Linked DNA regions of Saccharomyces cerevisiae S288C. The protein of the gene in region 1 interacts with the protein of each later gene in a biochemical or structural test. Each region holds a gene or a part of one and is shown in the gene's direction. Other genes may lie near its edges.

Evidence for each region.
Region 2: the proteins of SPB1 (region 1) and NOC3 are reported together in a solved structure, tested with the Saccharomyces cerevisiae proteins (one study listed by BioGRID).

Annotation. Positions count from the first base shown.
Region 1 is NC_001135.5:29,813-38,363, forward strand, and holds SPB1 (27S pre-rRNA (guanosine2922-2'-O)-methyltransferase), read left to right. Parts: upstream 1-1,636; coding exon 1,637-4,162; downstream 4,163-8,551. Other genes in the region: RDT1 (Rdt1p), read left to right, coding at 1,098-1,184; PBN1 (Pbn1p), read right to left, coding at 4,331-5,581; LRE1 (Lre1p), read left to right, coding at 6,053-7,804; APA1 (bifunctional AP-4-A phosphorylase/ADP sulfurylase), read right to left, coding at 8,024-8,551. UniProt on the Saccharomyces cerevisiae protein: Required for proper assembly of pre-ribosomal particles during the biogenesis of the 60S ribosomal subunit. Specifically methylates the guanosine in position 2922 of the 25S rRNA at the stage of 27S pre-rRNA maturation.
Region 2 is NC_001144.5:153,843-157,933, reverse strand, and holds NOC3 (Noc3p), read left to right. Parts: upstream 1-1,599; coding exon 1,600-3,591; downstream 3,592-4,091. Other genes in the region: CMS1 (Cms1p), read left to right, coding at 204-1,079; YLR001C (uncharacterized protein), read left to right, coding at 3,957-4,091. UniProt on the Saccharomyces cerevisiae protein: Required for synthesis of 60S ribosomal subunits and the transport of pre-ribosomes from the nucleoplasm to the cytoplasm. Also required for initiation of DNA replication.

The DNA of each region.
Region 1 (8,551 bases):
TGTTATATTCTAAAGAGTTAAATTATCCAATTCCAAATTCTAGGGACGGTTTCCAAAGATTTGTATTGTCCAGTGACATAATTTTCACTAAAACATTGATCTGTTTAATAGGTTTGCTATAAATGCACAATAATTTTTCACCCATGATACCCAATTTCAAGAGAAGCAATTGCTACATATAATTATTTAGGCTTTACTATCTACTACTCATTGACTGTGCCCTTTTACACAATTATAACAAATATGTCAAAGCAGATGCCATGAACTTTGTATCTGAATTTTTGATTTCCTTTTAATTCTAATTGCAGACGACGTAAATATAGTTCTGAATTTCAAAGTCACTGTTAATTAATTGTTCTAATTGTTTGGTTTTTTTAATATAAATCACTAGTGCTTAAGTTCTGTTGACGCACACAGTACCTATCTTTGATTCCTTCGTGCAAACAGTATTCCGGCACGTTAATTGATACCAAAAAGATTTCAAAATCAGATGCTTCAAGACTAATTGTATACTTTATGTGACTTCTGGAGTTTAATTTGTTGTATTGATGAGATAATATTGTCTATTATATTGCCAATAACAACCAGCGCCAGGTGTACTAAGTCGAGATGACAGAAAATTTATAATAAGTGTAAATACAATAAATTTTGTAAATAAATAACTACTTCAATAGAAATCTCAAAGTCGAAGAAACACAGAACACAGAATGAAACTGGACTAAATGATTTTCAATAAAGGAAAAGCACGAAAAATTTTTTGAACTTTTTTGGGACAGCGTGGATCGTGTAATTACTGTATTGGGAAATTTACACGATTCTCGACAAATAAAGAAAAAGGCGCGTTTAAAGACTTACAAGCACACCTTTGAATTATTTTTGTTCTCTATGATTATCAAATGTGCTAGTGTTTGCAAGATGGTGCTTTTTTTTCTTTAGATTGCCACGTTTCTGCTCCTCTTTGTGGTTTTCTTTTTTTTTTTCAATCTTACTTATAAAATGAATATTTCAATTGATGAATAGCTATATATTGGATACAAAAATTAGCATTTAATCGAAAACTGCAGCATGTATTTAATCGAAAACTACAGCATGTAGCTATGATACGACAGAAGATTTTTGTTTTTATAGTTAAGTCAAGAAGAAATTCTATTTGTCCAGCAATCCGGCGCAAAGAAGACTACTAAAGGGTATTGAAAAATTTCTAGAACCAGAAATAATCGAAAGCATTACTTTTTTTGGCTCTATAAAGGAGTTCTGGACAGCTTGAACTTCCGAAGTCTGTCTGTTTAGCTCGTTAAGATAAATCTCAAAAGAGTAGCAAGCAGGTGGGAGGGATAATTTGGATTAAAGTGTATATATTGCGTATATATAGCCACGTAAACCTCACACTATTGAGTTTAAACATTTTTCACCTTACGTTATTATTCTTTTGTCTAATTTTAATCTCCTCCAGTATACTAAAACCGCAAAAGCGGGTTACCCAGCTTGTTTCTTTTTGTCTGAAAAATTTTTTGCGATGCCCATTATGAAAAATTGGCAATAATAGTATAGTAGTTAGTTTAAGTTTAGATTCTTTCAATACTCATTCTGCTTCAGTTTGTAGTTAGATTTAACTCAATAGAGGTGATTGGCAAAAATGGGTAAGACACAAAAGAAGAATAGTAAGGGACGTTTAGATAGATACTATTATCTAGCAAAGGAGAAAGGTTATCGTGCTCGTTCATCCTTTAAGATTATTCAGATTAATGAAAAGTATGGCCACTTCTTAGAAAAATCGAAGGTTGTTATTGATCTGTGTGCTGCTCCTGGTTCATGGTGTCAAGTTGCATCCAAACTCTGTCCTGTCAACTCCTTAATTATTGGTGTTGATATTGTTCCAATGAAGCCGATGCCCAATGTTATAACTTTTCAAAGTGATATTACAACAGAAGATTGTAGATCAAAATTGAGGGGTTATATGAAGACTTGGAAAGCTGATACAGTGTTGCATGATGGTGCTCCTAATGTTGGTTTGGGTTGGGTTCAGGATGCTTTCACCCAATCTCAATTAACCTTACAAGCTTTGAAGTTGGCCGTCGAAAATTTGGTGGTGAACGGTACTTTTGTTACTAAAATTTTCAGATCCAAGGATTATAATAAATTGATTTGGGTTTTCCAACAATTGTTTGAGAAAGTTGAAGCCACAAAACCACCCGCATCAAGAAATGTTTCTGCAGAAATTTTTGTAGTGTGTAAAGGTTTCAAGGCACCAAAGAGGCTGGACCCAAGATTACTGGATCCAAAAGAAGTTTTTGAAGAATTGCCAGATGGGCAACAGAATATGGAGTCCAAGATTTATAATCCCGAAAAAAAAGTTAGAAAAAGACAAGGTTATGAGGAAGGTGATAATTTACTGTATCATGAAACCTCAATTTTGGATTTTGTCAGGACGGAAGACCCAATAAGCATGCTTGGAGAAATGAATAAGTTTACAATTGATGAGAATGACCATGAATGGAAGATCTTGAAGAAATTGAAACAAACCACAGACGAGTTCCGTTCCTGTATTGAAGATTTAAAAGTCTTGGGTAAAAAGGATTTTAAAATGATCCTAAGATGGAGAAAGATTGCAAGGGAAATCTTGGGCATCGAAGTTAAGGACGACGCTAAAACAGAAATTGAAGTAGTACCGTTAACAGAAGAGGAGCAAATTGAAAAAGATTTGCAAGGTTTACAGGAGAAGCAGCGTCTAAATGTCAAGCGCGAAAGAAGAAGGAAGAACGAAATGAAGCAAAAGGAACTACAGAGAATGCAAATGAACATGATAACCCCCACTGATATTGGTATTGAAGCCGCAAGTTTGGGTAAAGAATCGTTGTTTAATTTGAAAACTGCAGAAAAGACTGGTATCTTGAACGACTTGGCGAAGGGTAAGAAAAGAATGATTTTTACAGACGATGAATTAGCCAAAGATAATGATATTTACATTGATGAAAACATCATGATCAAAGATAAGGATTCTGCCGCTGATGCGGACGATTTAGAAAGCGAGTTGAATGCCATGTATAGTGATTATAAAACTAGAAGGTCGGAAAGGGATGCCAAGTTTAGAGCTAAGCAAGCACGTGGTGGCGATAATGAGGAAGAATGGACCGGTTTTAATGAGGGAAGTCTAGAAAAGAAAGAAGAGGAAGGTAAAGATTATATCGAAGACAATGACGATGAAGGTGTCGAAGGAGACTCCGATGATGATGAAGCCATCACCAATTTGATTAGCAAATTGAAGGGACAAGAAGGTGATCACAAATTGAGTAGTAAGGCACGTATGATTTTCAATGATCCGATATTTAATAACGTTGAACCTGATTTGCCAGTAAATACCGTCAATGATGGCATAATGAGTTCCGAGTCTGTTGGTGATATTTCTAAATTAAATAAGAAAAGAAAACATGAAGAAATGCACCAGAAACAAGATGAAGCAGATTCTTCGGATGAGAGTTCAAGTGATGACTCCGATTTCGAAATTGTGGCCAACGATAATGCATCAGAAGAATTCGATTCTGATTATGATTCAGAGGAAGAAAAAAATCAAACAAAGAAAGAAAAGCATTCCAGAGACATTGATATTGCTACTGTTGAAGCCATGACTTTGGCACATCAGTTAGCATTGGGTCAGAAAAACAAGCATGATCTTGTTGATGAAGGTTTCAATAGATACACCTTCCGTGACACCGAAAATTTGCCAGATTGGTTTTTAGAAGATGAAAAGGAACATTCAAAGATAAATAAGCCGATTACTAAGGAGGCAGCGATGGCAATTAAAGAAAAAATAAAGGCAATGAACGCCCGTCCTATTAAGAAGGTTGCTGAAGCTAAGGCAAGAAAGAGGATGCGTGCCGTAGCTCGGTTAGAAAAGATCAAGAAGAAGGCGGGCTTGATTAACGATGATTCAGACAAGACAGAGAAGGACAAGGCTGAAGAAATTTCTAGATTGATGCGTAAGGTTACCAAAAAACCAAAGACCAAGCCAAAGGTTACTTTGGTTGTTGCCTCAGGTAGGAACAAAGGTTTGGCAGGTAGACCAAAGGGCGTTAAGGGTAAGTATAAGATGGTTGATGGTGTCATGAAGAATGAACAAAGAGCCCTAAGACGTATCGCAAAGAAGCATCACAAGAAAAAGTAGTAACAAAGAGCATTATTTTTCCATTCCCTTGTATAATATTGAAAATAAAGGAAAAGAAAGCAATAGATATATTATGTATACATAGAATTAATCAAATTATCATCAAAAAACTTATAGGAAACCTATCGTTTTGAATTCAGAAAATACGAGTGCACAGTAGAACAATTTTTATTCCCGTTTTACTGATCTTTTCTTCTTGTTGTTACCAAATACCTTGGAGAAAATGTATATGATGGAGATGAGTAAGCATAGTAACGTACCATTTTTGATCTTGGAATAATCCTTTGTGTCAGGCCTTGGAATTGGTACTAGAAGAGTTGTCGAGTTCAAATGGCGGAATGTAGTATCGTCTGTAAAGAGAGATTCATATCCTAGACCTTTTTTATAAAATGGATTACGGGAAACTTTATTGTCACCTGTGTCGCAGGCTAATATAACTTCTGGATCAAATGAAACTTCTAATTTATCCCCTTTATTATTAGAAGGCTCAATATATCTAGTATGCAATGTCACTTCATTCATTGTGCCGGCTTTCAATTCAAAGATACTTTCAGAACCCCATGCCTTATCTCGAAGAGAGTATTCTGGTAATTCTAAGTCGTCTTCTCCAAAAAGTAGTAAGGGAGAGGATTGGAATTTATCGATAAATAATTCTAACGGCAATTGCAGGTGCATTAGATACATGCATTTAGGGCGTTCTTCGAAATCTGTGAGATCAATCATGATTTTTGGATGCAAACCGATAGGTTCATTCAGATATAGTGATGTCGTAGTCGTCGAGTGATTGTATGCGATATGGCCCTGTTTATACAATAAGGATGTTTTCTGACATCTTTCCATTTTACCATCGTCCATCCTCCAATTACAACGTATTCCACCAATATCGACATCACTTTCATCACTTGCATCCACAAAGAATACACCTACTTCGAGTTTCTCATCTTTCACTCTTGCAATTGTAAATTCTTCACCCTGTTTCAACAGACGATATTCAACAATTTGGATTTGTGTGGGCTCCACTGATATATCATATGTAAAATCTTCTGGATTCCATGACAGATTCAAATCTACTTCGGGAGGCAAGTACTGCTCTATGTCAAACTTCTCACTGTGAAATGAATTGTAGACTGGGTTAGTAATAAACCTTTCCGGCACATCCGAAGAATTTGAGTAAACTGAAAAGCCAGCACTCAGTTCATTTTCTATAACGCTTAAACTTCTAGCCAAGTCCGCTCTGGGCCTCCAAGTGATTCTCGTAAAGGATTTATCCAAGCTTCCAGTCCTCTCTAATAGCCACCTTTGTTGTAAAACCACACCAGAACCTCCACGAACAGTCAAATGAGTGTCATTTTGGCGCATATGATTACCGATATCCTCAGGGGCATTGTAGAGTACAGTCACTCTATGTCTTGTCACCATTACTCAGCTAGAAACGCACACTTCTTGCGTTTATTCTCCTCCCGATTTGATTATGATTAGCGTTTCCATTATTTGATCTTTTTTATCAGGGGGATCTTCAAAGAAAGGAACTTTTTTTAGGAAAAAAAAAATAATCATCTTTTATTACATGTGTAATACTTCAAGCAATCATAAACAAGAGTTAAGAAGGCAAAGTTCTGCTGTTAGTGTGTCCTCCAATACTCTTGCACGACAAAGTTTTAGTTATCCCCTTCTACGTGTATTGTTCCTCCGTGGTCGATTGTGTTCAAAGATTGGGAGCTCTTTTCGTGTTTTGCACTAAGAGCATACTGTTAATCCGCAAAGGCCACTAAAACTTACCTGCATTTGTCTACTTAAAGATACATTCCAACTATTTACATTCATTTTTATTTCTAAAAGAGCATTCTGAACCCTCGGCAATTATTTCATACTCCTTCTCAGAATAGGAAAATGCCCAATACGCATACTCAACATGTGCAAATATCAGAGCCAAATCCTGTAAATACTTTGTCTACACCATCCAAAAGAGGTCACCGCCATCGCAGATCGCTAGCAATATCAGGAGATTTTGATTTTTTGAAACAGCCTGCAGCAATTGTGAATTTACCACCTCCACAGGCGGCTGAAAATTGTCCTTCAACTGCCCCAACTGCTGTATCAAGTACATTATCGCCAATACGCTACAATAGATTTCCTTGCAAAACCAATGAAGACGCTGGAACGTTAGATTTGCCTGAACCAAGATTTTATCCGTTATCACCAAAGAACAATCTGCAAACACCAAGTCCACGATTTTTCATTAGTGAAGAGCCAAGTTTTTCATCGCCAGTTAAAGGCGTCCCAGATGCCATTATTAACCTTGACGATGCGTTGAAGACAAGGCCTAGGTCATTTAAATCACATAGAAGATCTGAATCCGCTCCTCCTGATTTGGAGGTTATGGTAGATAAGGGCAATTGTGCAGCCGGTTCTAACTCTATGATTAAAGAAGAAGAGGACTCCTTAATTGAACCAGAATCGAAAAATGAATATTATGAGCAAAAGCTTCCAACAGCACTATTATCCCCACTGCGGCCTTCCCTTTGTGTATCTGAACAGGCCATTGATGTAGATGATTCAGCTCTCAATGGGTCACCGACCCATCACAACCATGGGATGCAAAACGCCAATGCACGGAATTCCAACACATTCAATTCGTTGAAGATCAAAGGCCAAAAGCAAAGATATTATCATTATACGAAGCAGCTACCTTTGACCGTAGGCTGTGACTCGCAATCTCCAAAAGAACAAAGGTCGGCTGCTTCAATGACAATCAATCAGGCAATGACACCTTCTTCCCTGGCCTATACCCCTTCTAAACTAGCATCTACTCCCGCAACACCAGTATCCTTTTATGACAGCAATGCGGACATTAACTTAGAAAGTGATAATTTTCCACTAAAAGATAACCCTAGATATGCCAAGGATGGTTATCCTAAAAAGTGCGGCAATTCACAGCTTAATCGTGTGCTGGATAGCGATAAAAGACAGGATTTTAGTGGAGAATCGAGAAGAAGAAGATCGGGCAGTCCTATCTCCCACATGCAACACCGCAACCTGATTGATAATATGAAAGGTAGACGAAACAGTAACACGATAAACTCAATCTTCAACTACAAGAGTCAACATTATGAAATGCCATATGATGATATGATGAAAAATGAAAACATTAATGCACAGTCCATGCCCTTTTCAGTCAACGGTGTCAACAATGAAAATAGTATCGGAGGGGTTATTACGAGAGCGGACGATGCACCCCTTCAACACTCTGTGGTCAAATCCTGTACGCCTGATGGCAAGGAAGAAATGAATAGGCTTAAAAGTAATGACAGTAATGAATATTCCAAGTCTGAAGGGCAGATCAGAACCAATTCGCAACTAAGTAAGGACATTCTCATGGGTGAACCAGGTGATATGGTTGATCTGTCCTCTTTTGTCAACGCGCAGAGAAAAGCCTCAAATGAAACTGGTGACTTAGTCTTTAGTTTATCCCAGGATGATGACGCACTGAAAACGTTCCATGCGAGCAACAGCGCAGCAACAAGCAATGAAAGCTGGTGTATTAGCGATGATGCGTTAGGAAAGCAGGCGCAGGACAGTGAAGTTAGGAGGAAAAGAAAATCCAAATTAGGACTCTTTAGACATATTTTTTCAAGGAAGTAATACAACAATATTAATAATAAGTAATAAAAAGGTGAATCGTAACCTTAACGGCATTGATTGCATGTAGTTTTAATAATAAAGTGTAGAATAATAAATATAAAATTTCAAAGTCATCAGAAATAAAAATTGAATAGACATATACATATAGAAATTACTTCTATCATTTAAATACATATATATACATACATGTATACGTGTATACTTGTACTTGTGAAGGACTCAATAGTTGTATTCGTTTGGTTTTTGACCAGAAGTGTTTGGGAAACCACATTCCAATAAGATATCGTTAATCAATTCAGGTTTTTCAGTAATCTTGGAGAAAACTTCATCATTTTTGGTTAAGATCATACCACAATAACCTGTGGAGTTGAAACCTATCTTCATTTCATCAGAAAAGGCCTTCGAGCGTGGAACGACACAGATCCATTCCTTGGTTAACATAAGATTGTAGGATTTCTTTAGTTCTGGATTTTCGTTCAACCAGTCCTGGAAAAAGGTCAAAGCTCTTTGCAATATGGAGATGTAACACATAGCTAATAGGTCTTCATCAACAGTTTCTTCAGACTCCGGCATTGGCAAGACAAAATGAGCGAACGAGACTTTAGCATCTTGCAAAGGTTCAGTATTGAAAGTTGGTAGGAAATGTTCTTTACCATTACATAGTCTATCTTGGAAAGTGACGAACTTTTCAGGCATTTGCAGAATTTGCAAATGTTTGTGGTCCAATGAAGAACCACTGGCTGGACC
Region 2 (4,091 bases), on another chromosome or scaffold:
TAATCAACTTTTAATTTACAATATATAATATTTTTAGTCTGTAATATTCAATATTCAAAGACACCCAAACATTCATTGCACTTGGTATTTACCAAAAAATTGAAGAGAAAATTTTTGAGATGACCATGGATGAGGCAATGAAAGTCGAAATTTGATCCCCGCTACTAACTTCTAAACATATCGTCAGGACAATTGAGCTGAAAATGTCTAATCCAGATGATTTAGATGATGGACTCGCCTATGATTTTGATGCCGAACATGAAGTAATTTTTGACGCCAAGGATGGTAGTCCCCCAACCAAAAAGGTACAAAAGAGGTCTATAGAACAAGATGACGATGACGTTGATGATATAGATGGGAAAAAAGAGGAGAGAAATTCAGAAGATGATTCGAATAGACCTATTTCGAAAAGACAGAAAAAGCTACAGAAAAAATCAAAGCTAATTGAGAAAAAGAAAGAGGAAAGCCAGTATATCGTCTCACAACGAAAAGCACTTCCAGCAAGTTCACCAGAAAAAATTATTGAGTACCTAACAACTTTGATACGAGAAAAAAATCCTGACTTGAGTGTTTTAGAATTAGAGGAACTTTACTTCAAAAGAAATGATTTTCTTTCGACAGAAAAATTTGACGCTGAACGCAGATTAAGCAATTTCCCAGCCTTTATTCAAAAATTTTCCGTAGCTCCAAAAAAAATTGTTTTTTCTATGTCTAATATTAGAGTAGCAGACGTTTATCGTAGTCTAAACGGTGGCAAAAATTGCGTCAAATTATTCTCTAAAAGTAAACTAAAGGATGACATAGCCACCGTGGAACGTTTACTTACTGACAGCTCTAAAAAATCAAACAAAAATAAAGATTCACTATATTTTATTGCCACTCCAACAAGAATGCAGAAAATTATAGAAGCTACTGACTTACTTTTCCAAGGTAAGGAAAAGTTAGATATCATTCTTGATGCAAGTTATTTAGATCCTAAGGATAATACTATATTATCATTCGAGAATGCAGCCGTCCTCTGCCAAGTCTTGAAAACCTTTTTGAATAAAAAAAGCTCCGTGAAAATACTGTTATATTAATAATAGCGCTTTTTCACTGAGGTTCTACACATAAGATTACGTTTTTAAATACCAGCCTTAATTTAGTATATTAAATATTTCATTCTAGCATTTGATGGGGTACTTCAAATTATCTTCTTTAAATTGTCCAAAGCCCTTCCAAAAAGTAAAATCAAAGGAGAAACTTCGAGAACGCCTAGGCGCGCAGCAAACTCCATATATAACAATGTATTTTTTCTTTAACTACATAAAACCAATTTATCCTATTTTACTCTTTCCATGGAGTGTATGCTTTTTTGTAGTTACTTAGATTCAGAAATTCAATGTCTTCCCTCATTTTCTTCACCGTAGAGTAGACCATGGGACGTCGTTTTACTTTAGTTTTTGAATTTTTTCAGCGATGCCCGAAAACTGAAAATTTTATCTCATCTCATTCACCTGCCTGCCATATATAGTATTTTCATGGTATAAACTTGGCATTTTATGTCTTCAATCATAAGAGTATAATTCCGGGATAAAAGCTGGAGATATCATAGTAATAATGGCTAAGAGAAATAGATCTCAATTTCGCATTCAGGAAAGGACTGCAAAGAAAAGAAAGCACGAAGATTCCTTGTTAGAAGGCAATGTTTTCCAAAATGCACCGGAAGATATGGATGAAAATACCATATATAGCGCAAAAGGCTCATCCTGGGATGAAGAAGAACAGGATTACGAAATGGTTCCTCGGAAGAATCGGTCTGATACATCAAATCTTGTTGAAGGCCTGCCTATAAAAGTTAACGGTAAAGTTGAAAGAAAATTGCATAAAGCCCAAGAAAAACCAAAGGACGATGATGAGGAAGACGAAGACTCTAATGACTCTTCAGAAGATGATGAGGGACCTAATGAAGAACAAGAAGCAGAGGCAAAGGAGGATGAGCCTGATACGGAGGAAAAAATTCTGCAACTAAAAGAAGACATTGCCGATTTAGTCACTAAAGTTATGGAGGAGCCTGAAGAAAATACTGCTGCGTTGGGGCGTCTATGTAAAATGGTGGAATCTAAAAATCCTAATACTTGTAAGTTTTCCATGTTGGCTTTGGTCCCCGTGTTTAAGAGTATCATACCAGGCTATAGAATTCGACCACTAACTGAAACTGAAAAGAAGGAAAAAGTTTCTAAAGAAGTCTCCAAGCTTAGAAACTTTGAGCAAGCCTTAGTTTATAACTACAAAAATTACGTCGGAAGATTACAGAGTCTTTCAAAAACTCCCAGTAATGCTGCTCCTATACAGGTTTCATTAGGGATTTTGGCCACTCAAGCCGCAAAAGAATTGATTTCAACGGCATCCCATTTCAACTTTAGAACAGACATTTTCACTTTACTGTTGCGTAGAATTTGTAAACCAAGAATTTCAACAGATCCAACTTCCATTCAAATAATCCAGACATTTGAAACTCTATTAAATGAGGACGAAGAGGGCTCAATATCATTCGAGATACTAAGAATTTTCAACAAAATACTAAAGACGAGGAACTTCAACATCGAAGAATCTGTTTTAAATATGTTATTATCGTTAGATGTCTTACATGACTATGACCCTAATACTAAATTGAAAGGTAACGTTAGCGCTCCTAAGCTCAAAAAGAAAGATAGGGTCCATCTTTCTAAGAAGCAAAGAAAAGCTCGAAAAGAGATGCAACAAATTGAGGAAGAAATGCGTAACGCTGAGCAAGCTGTTTCTGCGGAGGAAAGAGAAAGAAACCAATCCGAAATTCTAAAAATCGTTTTCACTATATATTTGAATATCTTGAAAAACAATGCAAAAACACTCATTGGATCGGTTTTGGAAGGTCTAACGAAGTTTGGTAATATGGCCAACTTTGATCTATTAGGGGACTTCCTCGAAGTAATGAAAGAACTTATTAGTGACACTGAATTCGATAACCTTTCCTCTGCTGAGGTCCGTAAGGCTTTGCTTTGTATCGTTAGTGCATTCTCACTTATTTCAAATACACAATATATGAAAGTTAATGTGGATTTGTCCAAATTCGTCGATGGGCTTTACGCGCTATTACCTTATATCTGTCTTGATGCAGACATCGAATTATCTTATAGATCGCTAAGGTTGGCTGACCCACTCAATAACGAAATAATAAAACCATCAGTTAACGTTTCTACCAAAGCAGAACTTCTGCTAAAGGCTCTGGACCATGTATTTTTCCGCTCTAAATCAGGGACTAAAGAAAGGGCTACGGCGTTTACCAAAAGATTGTACATGTGCATCAGCCATACCCCAGAAAAAACAAGTATTGCCATTCTTAAATTTATTGATAAATTAATGAATAGATATCCAGAAATTTCAGGCCTTTACTCTTCCGAGGATAGAATAGGCAACGGTCATTTCATAATGGAAGCCGATAATCCTTCAAGGAGTAACCCAGAGGCAGCAACCTTATGGGATAATGCTCTTCTTGAAAAGCATTATTGTCCTGTAGTTACAAAGGGGCTACGCTCTCTATCATCTAGATCTAAAGAGTGTTCTAAATAGCTAGATCCTATATATTAAGTATATAAAGAGCCACGATTATCGTTAGCCAATCATTTTTGCCGTGTCGAGTAGAATTGTATAAATATTAGCATTGTATGAAATTTGAATGAATTACCGCAAAAGTATTATACGTAAGCAATAGAAACAAATATCAGATTCAAGTTCACCAAATCAATATTAACAGCTTACTATATTGTCTTTTTTTATGGAAGAACATTACCGTGAAAACCCGGTAGGAGAATTTTGTTCGGTCGGACTTCCCCATTAGGCGTATATTAAGGGCCTAGAAAATAAGACAAAACGGCTTCTTATCTAAGCTGCTGTGAGTGACAGCATGTATTAACTGAATCAAACGGAGCCCTTTGATGAACATGGCAATCCAAACAATTAAATACATTTTTTGGCTACTGCCGATATTAGGGCTTACACAAGCACTTCTACAAAACCCAGGGGACGATTTTCCATTTAGCACAGTAATAGATATCCTCTCAGAAAATGTT